Coturnix japonica: one gene and its partners. The protein of the gene in region 4 interacts with the protein of the main gene of each other region in a biochemical or structural test. Links are inferred from orthologs where the notes say so. Each region holds a gene or a part of one and is shown on either strand. Other genes may lie near its edges.

Evidence for each region.
Region 1: the proteins of RNF11 (region 4) and NEDD4 form a complex in vitro, tested with the Homo sapiens proteins (3 studies listed by BioGRID and IntAct, with this or other methods). The link is inferred for Coturnix japonica from reciprocal best matches to the Homo sapiens genes RNF11 and NEDD4.
Region 2: the proteins of RNF11 (region 4) and SMURF2 form a complex in vitro, tested with the Homo sapiens proteins (3 studies listed by BioGRID and IntAct, with this or other methods). The link is inferred for Coturnix japonica from reciprocal best matches to the Homo sapiens genes RNF11 and SMURF2.
Region 3: the proteins of RNF11 (region 4) and ZFYVE9 form a complex in vitro, tested with the Homo sapiens proteins (2 studies listed by BioGRID). The link is inferred for Coturnix japonica from reciprocal best matches to the Homo sapiens genes RNF11 and ZFYVE9.
Region 5: the proteins of RNF11 (region 4) and ITCH form a complex in vitro, tested with the Homo sapiens proteins (2 studies listed by BioGRID and IntAct). The link is inferred for Coturnix japonica from reciprocal best matches to the Homo sapiens genes RNF11 and ITCH.

Annotation. Positions count from the first base shown.
Region 1 is NC_029525.1:6,743,653-6,747,166, forward strand, and holds part of NEDD4 (E3 ubiquitin-protein ligase NEDD4), read left to right. Parts: intron 1-460; coding exon 461-526; intron 527-1,166; coding exon 1,167-1,286; intron 1,287-1,727; coding exon 1,728-1,934; intron 1,935-2,940; coding exon 2,941-3,018; intron 3,019-3,294; coding exon 3,295-3,349; intron 3,350-3,435; coding exon 3,436-3,494; intron 3,495-3,514. UniProt on the Homo sapiens protein: E3 ubiquitin-protein ligase which accepts ubiquitin from an E2 ubiquitin-conjugating enzyme in the form of a thioester and then directly transfers the ubiquitin to targeted substrates. Specifically ubiquitinates 'Lys-63' in target proteins.
Region 2 is NC_029533.1:7,186,450-7,190,576, forward strand, and holds the start of SMURF2 (E3 ubiquitin-protein ligase SMURF2), read left to right. Parts: upstream 1-1,321; 5' UTR 1,322-1,650; coding exon 1,651-1,702; intron 1,703-4,127. UniProt on the Homo sapiens protein: E3 ubiquitin-protein ligase which accepts ubiquitin from an E2 ubiquitin-conjugating enzyme in the form of a thioester and then directly transfers the ubiquitin to targeted substrates.
Region 3 is NC_029523.1:21,729,025-21,732,538, forward strand, and holds part of ZFYVE9 (zinc finger FYVE domain-containing protein 9), read left to right. Parts: intron 1-522; coding exon 523-673; intron 674-1,971; coding exon 1,972-2,052; intron 2,053-2,352; coding exon 2,353-2,515; intron 2,516-3,514. UniProt on the Homo sapiens protein: Early endosomal protein that functions to recruit SMAD2/SMAD3 to intracellular membranes and to the TGF-beta receptor.
Region 4 is NC_029523.1:21,407,951-21,412,121, forward strand, and holds the start of RNF11 (RING finger protein 11), read left to right. Parts: upstream 1-1,369; 5' UTR 1,370-1,835; coding exon 1,836-1,958; intron 1,959-4,171. UniProt on the Homo sapiens protein: Essential component of a ubiquitin-editing protein complex, comprising also TNFAIP3, ITCH and TAX1BP1, that ensures the transient nature of inflammatory signaling pathways. Promotes the association of TNFAIP3 to RIPK1 after TNF stimulation.
Region 5 is NC_029535.1:1,340,814-1,344,327, reverse strand, and holds part of ITCH (E3 ubiquitin-protein ligase Itchy homolog), read left to right. Parts: intron 1-1,602; coding exon 1,603-1,687; intron 1,688-3,248; coding exon 3,249-3,377; intron 3,378-3,514. UniProt on the Homo sapiens protein: Acts as an Acts as an E3 ubiquitin-protein ligase which accepts ubiquitin from an E2 ubiquitin-conjugating enzyme in the form of a thioester and then directly transfers the ubiquitin to targeted substrates.

The DNA of each region.
Region 1 (3,514 bases), on a different chromosome or scaffold from region 4:
AAACTGTAGTAATTGAACCACCCCTTTTGAGAGCTGTTATCTCAGTCTTTCATGTCCTATTTAAACTGTCCTCTGAAAACTTGTGTTAGCTCTGATGTGTAGTAGGCTGTAGTCCGCTGAGAAGATAATGAGTCCTATATTGTAAGTTCAATTGTAATGTAACTGTTTGCAAATAACTGATGTTTTTAATGCCAAAATATCTATTGTTAGGGTTTTCAGAGCTTTTTCAAGTCTCTATATTAATTTTCTTTGAAGCTACAGAAGATGCTATGAACAATGTTAACAGAAGTGCTGAAGCATCAGTTTACAAAATGTTTTGAAATGATCATTTTAAAAAAAAAAGATGTTTTCAGGGTGAAAACTGTAACAGTTTAAATTGTGATAATCACAGTCTACAGTTTGCTGTTGTCCTTAAAACTGCAAAAATAGCTGACATGTCATTCTTCTCCACTACTTCAAGAGCCATTCCAGCAGAAGAGGTAGTCTGCAAACATACAGAGTTGAAGAGCAGCCTGCACATCCAGTGGTATGTCATCATCCAACAACATTTGTTCAGAACATTTGTACACAGGAGGCTTGTGTAGCACAGAAGTTGGAGGATGTAGAACATCTTAATTTAGCTATGTATAATGGGCTCCTGGCAGCTCTCCTAATAAAGTTGCAGTTATGAGAGTCTAGGAGGACTGGAGTTCAGTTGTAAAGCTTCCATCTTCCCACTTGGTGTTTTTGGGTTAACATCACTTAATGCATGGATAGAGCTTGCAGAGGGAAATGATTCTCCCATGAAATACTGTTTCTGAAATCATTTACTTTTTAATAAGGGCTATACTGCTGTCCTTATGTTACATTTTCAAGGTGATGCTGCAGAATTATGAGTTCCTATCCAGAATTATGAGGCTAGATCAGCCATCTCTAAAGCGGACATCTAAATTAGTCCTTCTAATCCTTTTGGATGAGAGGCTTGAATTAAAAGTAAATAAATAAAATAATTCTGTCACTTGATGCTTCAGTAAGGATTTAAATACTACTTTTCTAATTTTCCAGTCCACGGAGAATCACGGCTTTTGTTAATTGTTATTGTCTTTAATTTGGCAGAGGAAAGCCTTTTCATAGTCAGTTTCATAGTTTTCCTAACTACTTTTTCTTCTGTTGTCATTAATATTTAGTTACTGCCTACTTCATCTGGATTACCGCCAGGCTGGGAAGAAAGACAAGATGAAAAAGGGAGGTCATATTACATAGATCACAATTCCAGAACTACTACTTGGATAAAACCAGTTGTACAGGTACTTTCTGCATTCTAATTACTGTTTTCATTCATATAACCTTTTAAACACTACACATAATAGGAGTTAAGTTTAGAGATCTCTTTGAACAAAAACATGTGAGAGGCATAACCTGATAACAAATCACAAAAATCTGAGGGAGTGCAACTGGAGTTAGTAACAGTAGTATTTATGGCAAGGCACTCTACGATTAATGTATCAGGAAAGCCTTCTGGAATGTGATGGCTGTTGGGGAAGCCTGAAGAACATTTTTCAACTTTGGTAGCTTAATCTGTGATTGTTAGTTATGTTGTTGATAAACAAAGCTGTCTACTGTTTGGCATTTGCTTTATGAAACTGCTTTCATGAGTTGAGAAATATTAGTACCTTAATATTAAGATAAAATACATTGTTCTACAGTTAATTTTTATTAGTGTTCTTCTTTTTTTCCTTGGTCTGTAGATTGCTATGGAAGCAGGTCAGTTGCCAACTGCACAAAATACTTCTATAGCAAGACAGCCACAAGCAACATCAGGTGATTCATCACAACAGTCTTCTAATCAGCAGCCTGAAATGGAGCAAGGATTTCTCCCTAAAGGCTGGGAAGTTCGACATGCACCTAATGGGAGACCATTCTTTATTGACCACAATACCAAAACTACAACATGGGTAATGATACCTGCTTTCATGGACTGAAGTTCTAGTTTGTCTCAAGTGAAAGCTTTCCTGCTTTTAGCAAACTTGCATAGATTTCTTTAGCGTCAAGATTTCTTCACTAGCATCTTTATTTAAAAACAAAACAAACAAGGAGAAACCTAACAACTCTCCTACCTCACATGCACAAACAAGAAGGAAAGAATGACTACAAATGTGAATGTGATTTATTGTCAGTAGAGAAGGTATTGTGACACATTTCTTATTCAAGCAAGATAGTCATGTCTGTTACGGAATATATGTGATTTAAAACAACAACAACAACAACAAAAACAAAAAAACCTGAATAATTTAAAATATCATTCCTGAGTAGAATCTCATGGATTTTATGTACTGTATTATCACTTGAAAGTTTAACTTAGGAGGAAAATACTGTGTTTGCGAATCAGTTTTGCAAGTGTAGAACTGTATGCAGTGTTAACAGAGGTCAGTTCTGTAATCCTGTCTTCCAAAAACAAATCCATTACCTTGAGTCTTTCACATCCTGCAGTGCACAATGCAAATTCCTGGAGCAGGTCAGGTGTAGCTGCAGTATGGATGCAAGTGTTCAGCTCTGGTTGTGCTGAGTGACACTGATTATCACCAGCCTGTCCTAGTAGATGGACTTAAGTGTTTAAAGAGTAGGTCATTGTTACTGCTAAATGAAAGGGAAATGTAGAGAATATATGAAAATGATACAAAAAATATATGTACTCACATCTATACACACGTATGTACATATATACGCACATACATAGAAAAGGGAGGGGATTTAAACCTGATTAGAAGATGATGATTGTAAAGTACTGAAATGATGATCCTCAAGGAACTCCCTAGCTGTAGAATATGCAACAGTTATCTTGTTGGTACTAGGCATGCTTTTTACATGGTCACTAACAAAGAGGAAAACAAAATTAAAGCAAAGCAAAACAAAACAAACCCTCAAAACAATTCTTACATGCTGATTGTTTTGTTTTCAAAGGAAGATCCAAGACTGAAAATTCCTGCTCATCTAAGGAGAAAGACTTCCCTAGATCCAGTAGATCTAGGACCGTTACCAGTAAGTAGATAATTTTTACTTGGTTTTCAAGGGATAACAATTTAATTTAAACTGCCACGATCTAAATTTGTACATGGAAAAAAAAAAGCAGTCTGTTGCTTTAAAAAACAAAACAATAAAAAGTTTTTTAAATAACAACAACAACAAACTAAATGTTGAATTCCAGAGTTAAGAGTAGATGGGAGGAGCAGGCAGCAATCCCTACGACTGCTGATCACCTCGTGTTTATGCGAACTGTGTGACTGTAAGTTTTCATTACGTATCTTCTTCTTACAGCCAGGGTGGGAAGAGAGAACACACACAGACGGAAGAATATTCTTCATAAACCACAGTATGTACAATGTAATGTTCTCTCACCACTCATCATGTCGTTACTGTTGTCTAAGTTAAGGGAAATAATTATGAAATACCTTGCAGATACCAAGAAAACACAATGGGAGGATCCTCGACTGCAGAATGTGGCAATAACCGGACCAGTAAGCTTTTCCTTACAGCT
Region 2 (4,127 bases), on a different chromosome or scaffold from region 4:
GCACAGAAAATTTGCACCTGGAAGGATCTGGTGCTTGAGACACGCTATGGGACAATGGAGACGTGAGTCTGTGCATACAGGGGGGGACCCTTTCATAGAACCATAGAATGGCCTGGGTTGAAAAGGACCACAATGCTCATCCAGTTTCAACCCCCTTGCTGTGTGCAGGGTCACCAACCACCAGAACAGGCTGCCCAGAGCCACATCCAGCCTGGCTTCATTTTAAAGGGGAAAACTTTGAGAGCCATATCCTACTTGTGAGGCCTTCAATGGGACAAAATCAATTCCTGCTCCTAGATGTGATTTAATGAGGTCCAAGCCCCAAACTCAGCCAAGATGAGCCAACTCTGGACATGCTAGTTCAGTTCTGTGCTGTATGCAGCTTCAGAAAGTGAACACTGGGCTATGCAGAAGCTACATTACAAACTCTGCAAAGCATTGGTCATCTTTTCATCCCGTGTTTGGATCTTGGTACTCAGGTTGGATCTTAATCTATGACCGCCCTTATAGTAATACTTAACAGGTTGGCTCAGCAGGAAGAAGTCAGTGCAATGACACGACTGAGTGAGATGCATGTGAACATACAGAGCATTAGTAAGGTTATTAGTACGAATAGGTGTGTGGTTTATTAGCTCAGTCTTATAAGGTAAACTTTACTGTGGCAACTTTACAGCTTTTCCGGGAGCTTTTCCCGGCCTTCAGAGCCCGCTTGGCATTGATGTGAGCCCTGCGCTCCCCTCCCTCATGGGAGATGTGCAGGAGCTGGACAGACTGTGGAAGGAGTCACCTTTCCTGCAGGATGGAGCTAAATTAGGCCTCACAATGGGAATGTGAGGCCTTTTTTTTTTATTTTTATTTTTTTTTTGGCAATTAGCACAACCGCGCTGCTCATTTTAAGCAGCACAGACAAGCAGCACATCAGCTCAGAGTTCATTGCTCCCATGGCAAGTCTGCTGTGCCCCATCCACCCAAAATATTGCCCCAGATTGCAAGCACTCCCGCATGGCAGACCTATTCAGTTTAGCCCGGCTTTAAATGTATTCCTATGCTGTTTCTTCTCACGTGTACCTTTGTCCCCCCACCCGTTTCTCTGGCTTCCCTCCTTCCACACCTCGGTAATTCCTCCCGACTCCCCCCAGTCTCGCCGCCACCTGATGCAGCCCCCATGGGGCATCCCGCTCACATCGGCCCCAGCCCCGGGACGGAGCGGGACTCGGGGTGGGCACTCGGCCTCGGCCTCCAACGGAGCACAGAGCAGAGCAGAGCCGAGCACAGAGCAGAGCCGAGCACAGAGCAGAGCAGAGCCGAGCCCGGCCTGCCCAGGGGAGGGGAGGCGGCCGTTCGCTGCTCCGTCCCGGCTTTGTTGTGCTCGCCGCCCGGGCTGCGGGTTAGGGGGCGGGGAAGCGAAGGGAAGGGAAGGGAAAGGAAGGCGGCCGCGTCTCCTCCTCCGCCTCCTCCTCGGCCCCGGCCCCACTCATGGCGACGCTGGGCACATCCGGGCTTCTCCTCCTCCTCCGGCGGCCGCCGCTGCCCTGAGCGCCCGAGCCGACTCCATTAGCGCGTCCCCTCCCCCCCCGTCTCCCTTCCCGGACCCAGAGGCAGGGGGAGCCCCGGGCAAAGCAGCGCCGGGCCCGAGCCGCGGCCGGGGACATGTCCAACCAAGGGGCTCGGAGGAACGGGCCCGTCAAGCTGCGGCTGACAGGTGAGGCTGAGCGCGGCGGCGGGGAACTGCGGCCGGGCCTGCATAACGCTGTATAACAACGCTGCATAACGCTGAATAACGCTGAATAACGCTGAATAACGCTGAATAACGCTCGGGCACGGGGCGAGCAGCAGCGGGGCTGTGCGGGACGGGGCGCGGCGGGGAGGGGAGGGGAAACCCGCGGCCACGGGGGAGCGAGTTCCTGGAGCGGCGGGGAGCCCCGGCGAGCCCAGCTGGAGGGTGGGAGGGAGCGAGCGAGCGGGAGCTCCTCCATGTGTATTTGAGGTTGAACCTGGGCTTGGAGGCGGCTCTCAGGCCTCGTGAGGAGAAGGGGCAAAATACAGACAGCGAACTCTTCCCTCTCCTCCCGTCCGCTCCCTCAGTGAGGGCAGCTCCCCGTGGGCCGCCCGCCTCGGGAACAAAACGCCAGCGGGAGCCGTGTGGTACCGGGCACCTCAGCCCCGTCCCGCCGCCCCCACCGCTGGGTTTCGCTTTTTTTCCTTCGCCTTCTCAGCGTGAACTTGAAAGAAAGTGACACACGCTTTGTTTTCATCTCTTTGTTTGTTTCTTTATATATATATATATTTTCCCCGAGCCGACTTCCTTAGTGAAGGTTGTACACAGTCGGTTTGACACGGTGCCTTGTGTGGGCAGCTTTCTCTCAGAAGACCACTTGACCTCGAATGCTTTAAAATAGCATTAAAAAGCTGCTCACCTGCGTGCAGGGAAGGAAAATACGCTATTTCCAAGCACTTGAAGTGTTATGATCCTTTACATGAGAGAACCAGGTACATTGATCGAGAGAAGGAACACTGGAGCTCTCTTTAAAAAAAAATAAATAATACAGCGAAGTTAATAGGACAGAGCTGCTCCAAAGTGATGTAAGGCCCTCCCCCAGCTGATAAATCCTATCTTGGGTTCCAAAGTGTGAGTGCTTGAAGGTAAGCCGTTAGAAAGCAGGAGATACATTGCTTCAAATACTCTTATTTGCAGATAGTGGGTTTAACCAGCTTGCAAAACAAATATGTTTTAACAAAAACCTGAAGGAATTGGAACATTAACTATAGGCACATCTGAAATATTTCCAGTTTGATGTCATATAAATACAGATGTTTTCATATTTATTTTTTGCAAGCGTGCTGTTTTTATAGAGGAGATGCAATGTATGTTTTGCTGTGGAAGTACCTTGGACTAAATTTATAATGTAATTTTCATTGAGATGTGTGAATGCCTATATAATACAGTGAGAAATGAAATCTGTGAGCTAAATGTGGCTGGGACCGATGCATGGAGCAGTGCTGCCTGTTTGTACAGTGCTTGGGAGCTTTTTCTTCAGGTTACTGCTTTATTGATGCAAAACTTTAATGCTTTTTTTCCCTTTGCTGTGAGTGCTCAGACTTGCTTATCTTCGAAACATTGCGAATAGTCTGGAGCCTTTAGTAAAAGCCTGGAAAATACTGTTCAGGCGGCTGTCTGCTTCACCTTTGGGTTTTGTATTCTGTTGTGTTTTATTTTGATTAAGGATTAAGTACGTCTTCTAATCCTGTCTTTGACAACATAAATATGTCAAGGGGAGTGTAGCTGTGAGCAATAGGCAGTGGTTGTATGTACCGAGTGGTTCCCAAAAGAAGCAGGTACGTTCTTGAGGAACGATTCTGAGTTTTTCATTACCTGTTTTTTAGGAGGGGTGGCTGCAGAGCAATGGATTCAAAGCAAAGTCGCCTTTAGAGAGAGACTGCTCCACTTTTAGCATCTCTGTGCAGGCGCTGAGAACCGGTTCTGTTATTTGGAAGCTTACATGAAATATTGACCTATTTCTCAAGTTAGAAAGACTTGAGGTATTTTGTGCTTTAGCAAACTGCCTGTTGTTTTTTATGCGGTCGTTGGTTGTAGGGAAGCTTTATATGCTTAAGAAAAGTTGTTACAAACATTGGATTTTATTAATTGAGCTGACACGGTGTCAGTCCTTGCATAGGAATAGATCTAAGTGTACTTTGTGGCTTTGATGACCCTTTTTGATTGGAAAAGCAGTTTGAGAGCTCTCAAATTCTAGAACTGTTTGGAATTAAAGGAATCTGTATATTCCAGTGTTTTAAAAAGTTTATTTTCATGCTTGCAAATGCTATATAACCTTAATTTTCTTTGGCTTTATGATGCCAGCAGTCTTCTGTTCTGGCTTGAATATTTATAGGATTAATTCTGTAAACATTGTGTAACACTTATCTTTCCTATTTGTTATCTCTAAATTAGATACTATAGATTGAAAAAAATAAAAAATAAATGGATTCAAGAACTGGATTCAATTAGCAGTTTTTCAGGACATAAACATTAAAGGTTTAGATGGAAAACATTGTTTTGACTGACTGGATAAATGACAGGGTAATGTTTGATGTGAGTCCAAGAGCTGATCTGTAGTAGTGCCCAA
Region 3 (3,514 bases), about 320 kb from region 4:
CTTAGGAGATGTCAGCATTTTCCTTCTCTCTGAGGTGTAATTTAATCACTCGACCCTCTTTCCCCTCTTTTTTTCTTTAAATCAAATACATCATTTTTAGTTTTGAAACAAGTTCCAGGACAGGTGACTCCTCAGTGTTTGTTTCAGATAAAAAATCTCATCGTCAGAAACAAAATGGGGATCATTGGCTCTAGTAGCGTCAACTAACCAGATATTTCCTCCCAATATTTTACTAATATTTTTTTCCCTTGGATGTTTTATAAAACAGCCACTTTGTAGGTCATCTGTCCTTCCTACCAGTTATCCTAATTACTTGAGAGGTGACACTAAAGCATCTAGATTAAATGAGAGCTGAACTGTCTTTTCAAGTGCAGGTTATGGTTCTGAGTACTGGAGTCTGTCTGACATGAGACTGCAAGCACTCTTAATTTTCACTGTCTGAATGAACCGTTCCAAGAATAACCCTTACATGGTATTGCTTGACAAACAGGGTAAGAATGGCATAAACCTTTTTGTTTGCAGATGATGAAAGCCATGAACAAATCCAACGAGCATGTTCTAGCAGGGGGAGCGTGCTTCAATGAGAAAGCAGACTCGCATCTGGTGTGCGTTCAGAATGATGATGGGAATTACCAGACGCAGGCCATCAGCATCCACAATCAGTCGAGGAAGGGTGAGACTGGGGCTCGTGAGGCCATTGGATCACGGTTCTCTGTATAACTTCTGTTTTGCTGTTGTTCTTACAGTGATGCCACACGTTGCTTGGTGAATCTGTCAGGATTGGGCTTGTCTGTATTTCACTGTTTCTGCTCTAGTTCAGAGAAAATCATCTGACTGTTGGCCTTCCTGAGTGGGCAGCTTTGTGAGTTAGGTTTGGACACGCAGAGTAGCGTGTTGCGCTGCTCTCTGCCTTTACCCCCCCCAGCACAGTAAGGCATCCAGGGGCACGCTGCTGTTTGTGTCCTGTGTGCAGCCCTCATCACACTTCCTAGGTCAGTAGTGCTGTTCTGAATTAGTCTGAGAGGCATTCTGGCAGCTTCATAGACCAAGCAGACACAAAATGAAGCATATTACAGCTTGCTCCCTTGTAAATGTGGTAATACTGTTTGCACAGTGCAGCTTGGGACATGCACATTTCCAGAAGTGCTGTGACTGCCTTACACAACTTCTGTATATGAAAAATGACAGCAGTCTTTGGCCTTGTTGGAGACTAGAGGTGGGAGTGTTGTTGCCTGTGCTTGCCCTGTAGGCTGTGCAAAAGGAGGAAGATGGGTTTAGTAGGAGGGGGGAGATGTGAACAGAAATAAACAACAGCAGCAGTGTTTAAATAACGTAGCTTCAAAGATGTGTTCGCCTCTGTCAGATCATCTCATTTCCAGGCTTTACCTGGCAGAGACATTTACACTATCACCAAATGAGAAGAAGCAAGATACAGGCCAGCTTTTGTTTTCCAAGTATCCCCATATGCATTGAGTGTACTGACATGGGACATCACTTCAGGACTGCTGGTTTTATCTGGGTGTGGTTTGTTTTACACATGGGATGAATAGAGGGACTTCCAGCGAGTATTCTGTGATGCTTGGTGGTCCTTTAAGAGAATTTTATTCTAAATGAGCTGGCTGTTTTTCCACTGGTTGGTGTTAGTGTGAGCTATAAGCAGATCACAGTCTTTTGCTGCCTGTGTGAGAACTTTTAGGGTGATGTAATTGGTTACCCTAAATTAACAGTTTTGAAACTTAAAGGCATTACTGGGGAGAGCGATGAAATACCGGCATTTAGGCTGATAAAACAGCTGTCCAGAAGGTGGCTGGATGATTTGCCTTTCTATGTCCAAGCATGTAAAGCACTGAGCAGCACTTGTTCTGATTTCTGTTAATCGCCTCTTTGGGTGATGGAGCTGTTGTACCTGATTGTTGTGTGAGGCATTGTCTTGATGAAAGCCTCACTAAATCACTCTGGTTGTTGTTGCAGTGACTGGTGCCAGCTTCTTTGTGTTCAGTGGAGCTTTAAAATCCTCGTCAGGCTACCTTGCCAAATCCAGTATAGTAGAAGGTAAGAACTGAACTGCTTGCTTCATATGTGCTGCTTCCCCCTTAGCACTGCTCAGCTAAGCCCTGAGCATTTGAATGAAGCTGCTGGTTCAGCTTCATCTTACTTAGGAAAAAACCCCACCCGTTGTGCTTTTTGTTCCATCTTTTAGGGATCAGAGGGTTCAGGAATGGGCTTGTGTAGTGTCAGAATGGATTTCCAACATGTTTCAGTGTTGCTTACAAGAGGAAGGATGTTTTTCTGTTCTATACTGTCTGCTCATTGTGATTTATTTTGGCTTATGAGGATTTCTTGGTTCCCCAGATGGAGTAATGGTCCAGATAACTGCAGAGAACATGGACTCTCTGAGGCAGGCCTTGAGAGAGATGAAAGACTTCACCATCACCTGTGGCAAAGTAGATGCTGAAGATCCTCAGGAACACGTTCACATTCAGTGGGTAGAAGATGATAAAAACTTCAATAAGGGGTAAGCAAGACATTATGTGACTGAATTTGTTAAAAATTTGAATGGATTTGATTTTATAAGGTGACTGGACTAAGTGTGAATTATAAGCTTATACCTCTACTTTGAGTGATAAGATGCAATTAAACGTAATGAAAGTGGAGCTTGAGACACCAGAGCTTTGGGGCATCAATTAAGAGTTGTCAGTGCTGCGGATTATTTTCCCGTTGCTCACAACCAGTTACTGGAATCTCTCCAGCACTCAATGCTGATCCCTGCGTGTTATGGTCAGTTCATGCTCTTGTTGCTTTGTGTGCATTAAGTTGTGCTGGAAGAGAAACTGCTGAACACCAGCAGTAAATGCTGTGCTTCGATGGTTAAGCCAAAAGAAAAGCGTACACGGCAGTTTAAGTACTTAAGGGGGAAAAATGCTGTTATGATGGGTACAGCCTCGTAAGGAATCAGCGTCTAAAGGGATGGCCTTTCTGTATGTACAGACACCGTGTCAGTCTCAGGTTCTGTAATTAAATGTTACAGAACACATTCTGTGGTGTATAAGCAGTGTTTTAAGGTATCACGGGCCTCCACCAACATTACAAATGGCTAAAAAGCAAATCATTTGAAGCACATCCTGTTGCTCTTTTTACACCTGAGTTCAATCCTGGTGCAGAGCTAAGCTGGAAACCTGCAGGAAGCTCCATCCTGAGCTCCACATGTCAGAGGGTTGGGGTTGCAGCAGACAGCAGGACTGCTGTGCCTCTTGGCTCTTCCCTTATTATGAACATCCAGGCTTAGTATCAGCATTGCAGCTGTACACAGGGTCACTTATTTTGGCACCCTCTGTTCAAGGAGTTCCCTGCTGAGGCTGGTTTTGGTCTGTGCCCCATTTAGTTGATGTGATAAGTTGCTTTGTTGTAGTGGTTCAAGTTGCAGTTATGAAAACAACCTGCAGCAATTCTATTGAAGTCTAGGTGTACCAGGGGCACTGTCCTGTCCTTTGATCTGTGAGATACTTTTCCTTTA
Region 4 (4,171 bases):
CTTAAACAGTACTAAGGAAGGTTCAGGTTGGATATTAGGAACAATTTCTTTTCAGAAACAGTGGTGACACATTAACACAGGCTGCCCAGGAAGGTGGTGGAATCACCATGCTTGGAGAACCATGATGCTGTGGGACTGATGGACATAGTCAGTGGGCATGGGGGGAACGGGTTGGGGTTGGACTTGTGGAAGGGGTCTTTTCCAGTCTGAATGATTTTATGATAAAATGAGAAATGGTGGTAGAATAAAGATATTCTTCTCATTACCTGTTATCTTGTCAGTGATGCCACCACTGCACAGCTGAACGTCCTCTAGCTGCGCCTTAACCCACCACAGGATCCTGCAGAAGCAGCTCTGACATTGCTCTCACCTTGAAGCTACTCTTAAGAGAGGCAGTGACTCCTCTCCAACCACTGCTTACCTTCTTAATTCTCCTATTAACCGAGTCAACATATTCCTGCGATAAACATTCACACCCTGTACAGTATTCATTGTGAGTTACAGCACACTATTACAAAGTGTTTCCATCACAAGCAACACTCACAACTCAGGCACTACTTCTAGCTTCTTAGGAAAACCTTTTCCAAGCCCTGTAAACGCCAACAATATCTTCTCTGTTGCTATAGATTTCATACTGAAAGTGCTTAAGTCACCCAATAACCAGCAGCAAAACAAAACTCTCAAACAATAATAAAAGGAAATCCTCAAGGAGGAACTCACGTGGATAACAAGCAGCAGCACAGCTCCCCACCTTCCAAGCACTAAAGGGCCTCTCAAAGGTCTGAACAGAGATGGAAGAGCCAAGTACCAGCAGCTGGCTTAAAGAACTCAGATGGGAGCCTGACACAGATCAGCTGAGACACCCTTGATTAAAGCCGGCCATGCTTTATTGCTTCAGGACCTAATTTCTAGTTGCTGTCACCTGTGTTGAATTTGCTTCAGATCAATATTCAGTGGCCTGAACCTGATGGGCAAGAAGGCACTATGAGGATCTGAGCTGGAGGAAACCCTTAAATGTGCCTTAAGAAACATGTTTCCTTCATGCTGCGTTGGTGTGGTTATGTTAGAAGGGTGCCGACTTCGCACTGTGCATACAACTGTATTTCACTTTAAAAGTTTATCTTCTCAATTGAGAGGCTGCACACACCGTTACATCAATCACGTATTGCTGTAGCTCTCATCACCTCCAAGGCCGCCTCCGCACACAAAGAGCAGCACGGCCCGGCCCTCTGCCCTTAGCGGCTGCCGGGGCCCAGCGCGGGGCAGGAACTTCGGCCTCCGGCACAGCTCCGCCCCGAGCTCAGACGCCGGGTCCGTCCCGCACACCGACAGCTGCGGGGCGGAGCGAAGCGCCGCTCGCTGTGGGGCCGGAGGCGGCCGGCCTGGCCTCATTGCGCCGGGGCGGGCACAGCTCCCCGGCCGCCGAGCGCGGTGCCGCCGGGCCCTACGTGCGCGATCCCGGCGGGGCGGAGTGAGAGGAGGAGCCGGGGCGGCCTGTGCGACAAAGCCCAGTGCGCAGAAAGCTGGTGACCAGGAAGCGGAACGGCACCGGGCTGCCGCGGGGCGGGGGGCGGGCGGACCCCACCTGAGCCCCGCTGCCCCAGCGCTCCCGGGCGGGAGCCGAGCCCTGCGGCCCCACGGCTCGGGGCCAAGTGCGGCCGGCGCTGCGGGGCGGCCGTGCTGCCGCTAAGCCGCTTAGGGCCGGGCTGGCATGAGCCTCCCCGGCGGGGCGGCTGCGGGCTGCGCGCTGCGGGGCGGCTGAGGGTGCGGAGCCGTCCGTCGTAAGGAGGGGGAGAAAGCGGAGGGGACGCCCCTGCTCCCCGGGGGGAAGGAAAATGGGGAACTGCCTCAAGTCCCCCACATCAGATGACATCTCGCTGCTCCACGAGTCCCAGTCGGACCGGGCCAGCTACGGGGACGGGGCTGAGCCGGATCAGGAGCCGCCGCCGCCATATCAGGTACGGGAGGGGGCGGGGAGCGGCGCGGCGGAGCCGGTGGGGACGGGGACGGACGGAGAGGGGCACGGGACGGGGGGGCGGGTTGAAGCCCCGAGGACCCCCCGGGGCGCTGCACAGCGTCCGTCCCCGCGGGCACCGAACGGCGGGTCCCGGCCGTGAAGTGAGGAGCGCCGCTTTGTTCCCCGGGGGGTCGCCGAGCTGTCGCGGGGCCGCACGGACCGTTCGGGACACGAAGCCGGAGACGGCGGAGGGGGGTCGGGGCCCGCCCAGGGGTCGGAGCCGCCTCGATCGTGTCTGGATTTGGGCTGAAAGCAGGAGGGGAAGGCGTCGAGTTTCCAGCCGTGCCGCTTCCTTTGTTGTCGTCGCGCGGTGACATCACTGTCTGTGCCGCTCTCGGTGCTCCCCGCACCGGAGGCCGCGCGCTCGGCGCTGCCCGGCTTTGTCTGCGGCGCTTCGGCAGCAGCTGAACCGGAGTAACTTCGTGCTGCGGGGTGAGCCCGTTTCTTTCAGCTCCGTGCGGTTCCAGGAAGGGCCGTTCGCTCTCCTGCCTGGAGAGGATGTGTACATTGACGGCTGATGACGAGCTGGGGAAGAACGCCGGGTGCTCCGTCACGTCCTCACAGCTGTGGGGTCCCGGCACAGCTCTGTGCTGTGATGGCCACCAAAAGGACCCAGGGCTGCATTTATCCCCTGCTTCATCTCCATCTCCTAAGGAAGGATTGTACGTGGCTCTGAGCAGGACACGAGCCCTGTCTGAAGGGATCTGTAACAGTGACAGGTACAGATGAGTCCTGCGCTCCTTAGGGTGGGGAGTCACGCAGGAGTTGCAGACCTTAACGTATTATTAACAAGGCTGCAGGAAGTATTTAGCAGGGCAGATATTAACCTGTGATACTCGACGAACACCGGCTGTGACAGGAGGTCCCTGGGTTGCTCCATGGGCACAGCAACCCTTGGTGGAACCATGCTGGGACCACTGGGCCCTGCAGAGCTGCTCGCTTTATGTGACTGCTTCATGACAGAACAAATTCCCTAAGATGGGTTGGGTTTTTTTCCCTGACTTTTTAGTAAAGTCTGCACAAGTCCATTAAATAAAGATGTGTGGTGTCAGGTTTTTTTGACAGGCGATGTTCTGAGCCAATCCTGCTTGTCCCTCCTGTTTGGGAACGCAATGAAAATTGTCCCTTGGAAAAAAACCTGTCGGCTCTTGCAGGAGTTGAGAAATTGCACTGTGCAGGCCTTCTCCTGTCGACTTCAGAGCACAGCAGACAGTAAAATAAGCAAACTCGCAGACATTTGTTACTGTGTGCATTCATAGCAAAACTCCCCCAAACCCCACGCGCTGATCCCAGCAGATCTCAAACACTCACTGTAAGGGGCATCTTGTGTTGCATAGTCAACATTCAAAGATACTCGCTCCACAAATAAAGAAACACAGTGCTTTGTGATGACAAAAGACCTTCACCTTCATACTTTGCAGTATTCCACACGCTTTGAGGTTGAGGGGGGTTGTAACTTCAAATTGTTTTGGGGTGAAAAGGTGTGCAAGCCGAGCGCTGAACCTGGGGAACTCCTGGAGCTCCATTATTGCTGTAGTGGCAGCAGGATGTTGTGATCTTATCCTCTTCCTTGCCTGCCTTCCTCCGCAGGTCTGCATGTTCTCTTACACACTTTAATTCTCATTCAAACATTGTAGAAAGTATCACCTATAAGGACAAGAATCCCACATGCCCATTTCTAACACTGAATCTGAGCTATGATCTGGAATTTAAAATAAGGCCAAGAGTTTAAAAACTTGTTTGTGGCACCTACTGCTGCGCACGAGGAGCTGTGGACGATTAACAACTTAAAACTGAGCTGCTGGAGCCTCAGCCATAAAATGGCTGCATTTGGGTTTGCTTCCTTTGGGTTTGCAGCAACGATGTGCAAACTTCCTGAGCCGCTCTCTCAAGGTGTGCTAACAAGCAGAGCGAAGGAAGCTTGCTGGGGTAGGTGCAGCGTTGTAGACAGGACTTGTGTGTCTCTTTGAGCTAAAGTCTGTGCTATCTTGATACTCAAAACATTTTCTGTGTCTTGGCACGCTTGTTTTGTGGGTGTCCATATGGGAATCGAGTTAAGCAATAATTTTTTAAGGTGTTCACTTCTAACTGCAAAATAGGCACCTAATAATCTCTTCACTGTTGCATGCCAAACTCCTTTTCATCACTGAGTGC
Region 5 (3,514 bases), on a different chromosome or scaffold from region 4:
TCTCAGTAATTATCAGGTCATAATCGCTTCTCTCACACTGTCATCCTATTTTGCACCACACTCATTAGGCAAGGTTTACCCCCTCTCTCTCTTCCCTGGATGTTTATTGCTCTGAAAAGCTTTTGTAATGACAACTAATAATCATCTTGTCCATCTCCCTGGAATACATTTGTTTGGGTTTGTACTTCACAGGTTTAACAATTTACAATTAATGCAATTCTTTGTGCATGTGTGTACCAAAATGTAAAGCTGGATTCCTGCTGTGACTGTGAGGCAGATGTGAGAATTCAGGTGTCAGGATACACAGGCAGCGTTCTCAGGGTTGTAAAGCAGGTGACTGCCTCTCAGAGTTCGAGTTGGGTTTTTGTTTGTTTTTTTCAAACATAACTATTTAGATTTTTGTTCTCAGGTAGACACAACATCATGCCATAAACTTGTGCCCTCGCTTGTGTTTTCTTGCACTACATACACAATATGTAAAAGCATGTTTTTTAGGCTGATGTTGCTGGGGAAGCCGTGAAGCTGAATTTCCATGTTGAAATTAGTTCTGCTGCCAGTGTAGCTCCTATAGACAAGTGTTTGCTTCCAGGCTTCCCTTGTAAATTGGAGCTTATTACCTGCAATAGTCAAACTCTGGCCTTTTTATGTAATTTGTCTTCTGAGTTCTGCATGTCTTGTAACTCCCTAAATAAAAAATGGTGTAAAGAAATGCAGACTGGTCCAGAAGACCAAATCCTGGCATTTATCGTAAACGTTTTTCAGTCATGCAAATATATTTATCTGAGTGAAAATCTTGGAAACCACATCACTTTTATTTCCTGTCTATTTAGTACATGAGTATTTCATGTTGCTGTTGTTATGTTGCTGTTTGCACACCTTTGTACTTTCTTGATTCTTATATGTACCTCTGCAACCTCTTTTGTCTTTGTTTTCTACATGGTTTGTGCGGCATATAGCAAAAGTCAAAGCAGCTGGGATTTCCTGTGGAGAAAACAGCCCATGTTTTTACTTTCTTCCAGTTATTTTTTCCTATTGCTAAAAAAATAACATAGTAAGGGATCTTAACATGGAAAGTCATCTTATCTGTGTTTTAATCCTTCTACGTTTTTAGCTTGGAAAAATACCTGAAAAAGCTTCTTAAGAAGTGCAAGCAGTAGGCCAATGTATGCAATGCAGGTGAATCTCTTGTGATTAACTGTTTCCTTCCCACTAATGTTTGTATTGTTGCTATGATGTCCAGACTCTCACTGCTATAAGCTGCACAGTTGTAGACAGCTGATCTTTTCAGGGCAATAATTGAGATGCTAAGAAATTATGCATGAACACTTGAAGTGCAGCTTTTCCCTGAGGATGGGTGATGGTGCAGTTTCATATGATTATTAGCAGTTGCTATTATTTAGATAAACTCCTGGTTTTGAATAGACTAGGAAGGAGTAATGTCAATGAAAGTGAAAAGGTGTTGTGTTAAAGGAGCTACGGAGAAACCTGAACATAGGTGAGGCTGTGGCAGGCTCTGGTAGTTGGATTTATTTGTTGTATTTAATTATTTCAACAATATGGTAACCAAGGTATTGAAATTTGTTTTCTTTTTGTATATTTTAGAAAAGAGGACTGACAGCAATGGCAGAGTGTATTTTGTCAATCACAACACACGTATCACGCAGTGGGAAGATCCCAGGAGTCAGGGGTAAGAAATCAATTACAGCTTCTTGTAAATCCGAAATGAAAATGTAATAAAGAAGTGAGAATGAGGCATTGGCTGGATGATACTGCTTACAGCTCAAGCATAGGCTGTCACAGAATCATAGAATGGCCTGGGTTGAAAGGGATCTTAAAGATCATCTGGTTTCAACCCCCCTGCTGTGTGCAGGGTCACCAGCTACCAGACCAGGCTGCCCAGAGCCACATCCAGCCTGGCCTTGAATGCCTGCAGGGATGGGGCATCCACAGCCTCCTTGGGCAACCTGTTCCAGTGCATCACTACCATCTGAGTGAAAAACCTCCTCACAGTATCAAACCCAAATCTGCCCTGTCCCACTTCAAAACCATCAACCCATGTCCTATACACAGTTCTCAGGCAGTTAATATTAAAGGATACCACGGAAATTGAGATTGTAATATGGATAATATAATGTAATAGATAGTAATAATAGAGTTAGCAGGAAAATCTTGCTCAGCAGCAGTGAATTAATTCCCCAGAACAGTTCCTACCATTTTCATATACTGTATATGTATTTGTATTGCTGCAGGGGAGAGAGAAGGATTTCTTCTTGATGCAGAAGATTCTGAGTCAAAATTTGATTATTTACCAAACAGATGATAGCAAGAGATAGAGATGGGAAACACAAACTCCAGGAACTGCAGCACTTCCACTTTATCATTTTTAAATAAAATTAAATCTAAAAAAAAAAAAGAAAAAAAAAAACTAGAGGCACTACCCCACAAGTAATGGATTCTTGTATTTCTCTTTAGTTTGGGGTCCAGTTACTTTGTCTCTCAGAGGTAGGAAGTGAAAAGTGAAGGATGTTTTCATCTCACTCAAAAAATCTCGGATAAAATTTCCACCAAATGAAACAGTTTGGCCTGTCCCTTACAGAGGAGGAAGAGAAGTGGAGGGGCTAAGAGCAGTAGCCAGAGATGACGACCTTTGCATGTCAGGCACATCTGCAGCAGCTGACTGAATGGAAAACACTGTTATTTCTAGTAACCACCCAAATTTATAGCTGGAAATGTGGCCCTACAGTGTCTTTCTGTAAACTCTGTAGAAGGACTCTGTAAACACTTTGGTGGAGTGCTACTACTCAAGTGTTCCACATATTTCAAGATACACTTACACTGATGTCAAAGTTGAGGTGGGAGTTGTCAAAAAAGGTCACTGTTTGTATTTTCTTTATGTTCTTTTATTTTTGTCATTCTGAAACACTTAGCTGCTGAAATTATATGTGAGGTAACTAAGGCTACTTACTAAGACAGTGTCAGTTTCAGAATAAAACTGTAATAAATGACAGATTCTATTTGCTGTTATATTTCTACACAACTGAAGGAGCTAAAAATTCATTTAAACAATCACTGTGGTCTGAGAGCTGACTTGAAAATTGGAGAGAAAAAGGCAGAATAAGTGCTGAATGGAAAGTTTCGCAGTCTGCACTTCTAGATCCACTTGAATTTTTACTGTCTCAAGTCATCGATCGGTTGCCTTGATTGTATTAAGTTGTATTAAGTTACCATGTATTTTCTTGTACTCACAGTCAATTAAATGAGAAACCCTTACCTGAGGGCTGGGAAATGCGATTTACTGTGGACGGCATTCCATATTTTGTGGATCACAATAGAAGAACCACTACATATATAGATCCCCGCACGGGCAAGTCTGCTCTGTAAGAGTTTTTTAACTACTGCCTTTTAAATGTGAAGTTCAACAGCCATCATTAAGTTTATTTTCTCTGTTTTGTGTGCAGGAAGTTTTACACGTAAACTTTTTGTTTTCTTAGTCCACTGATGACACTCCCTGAAT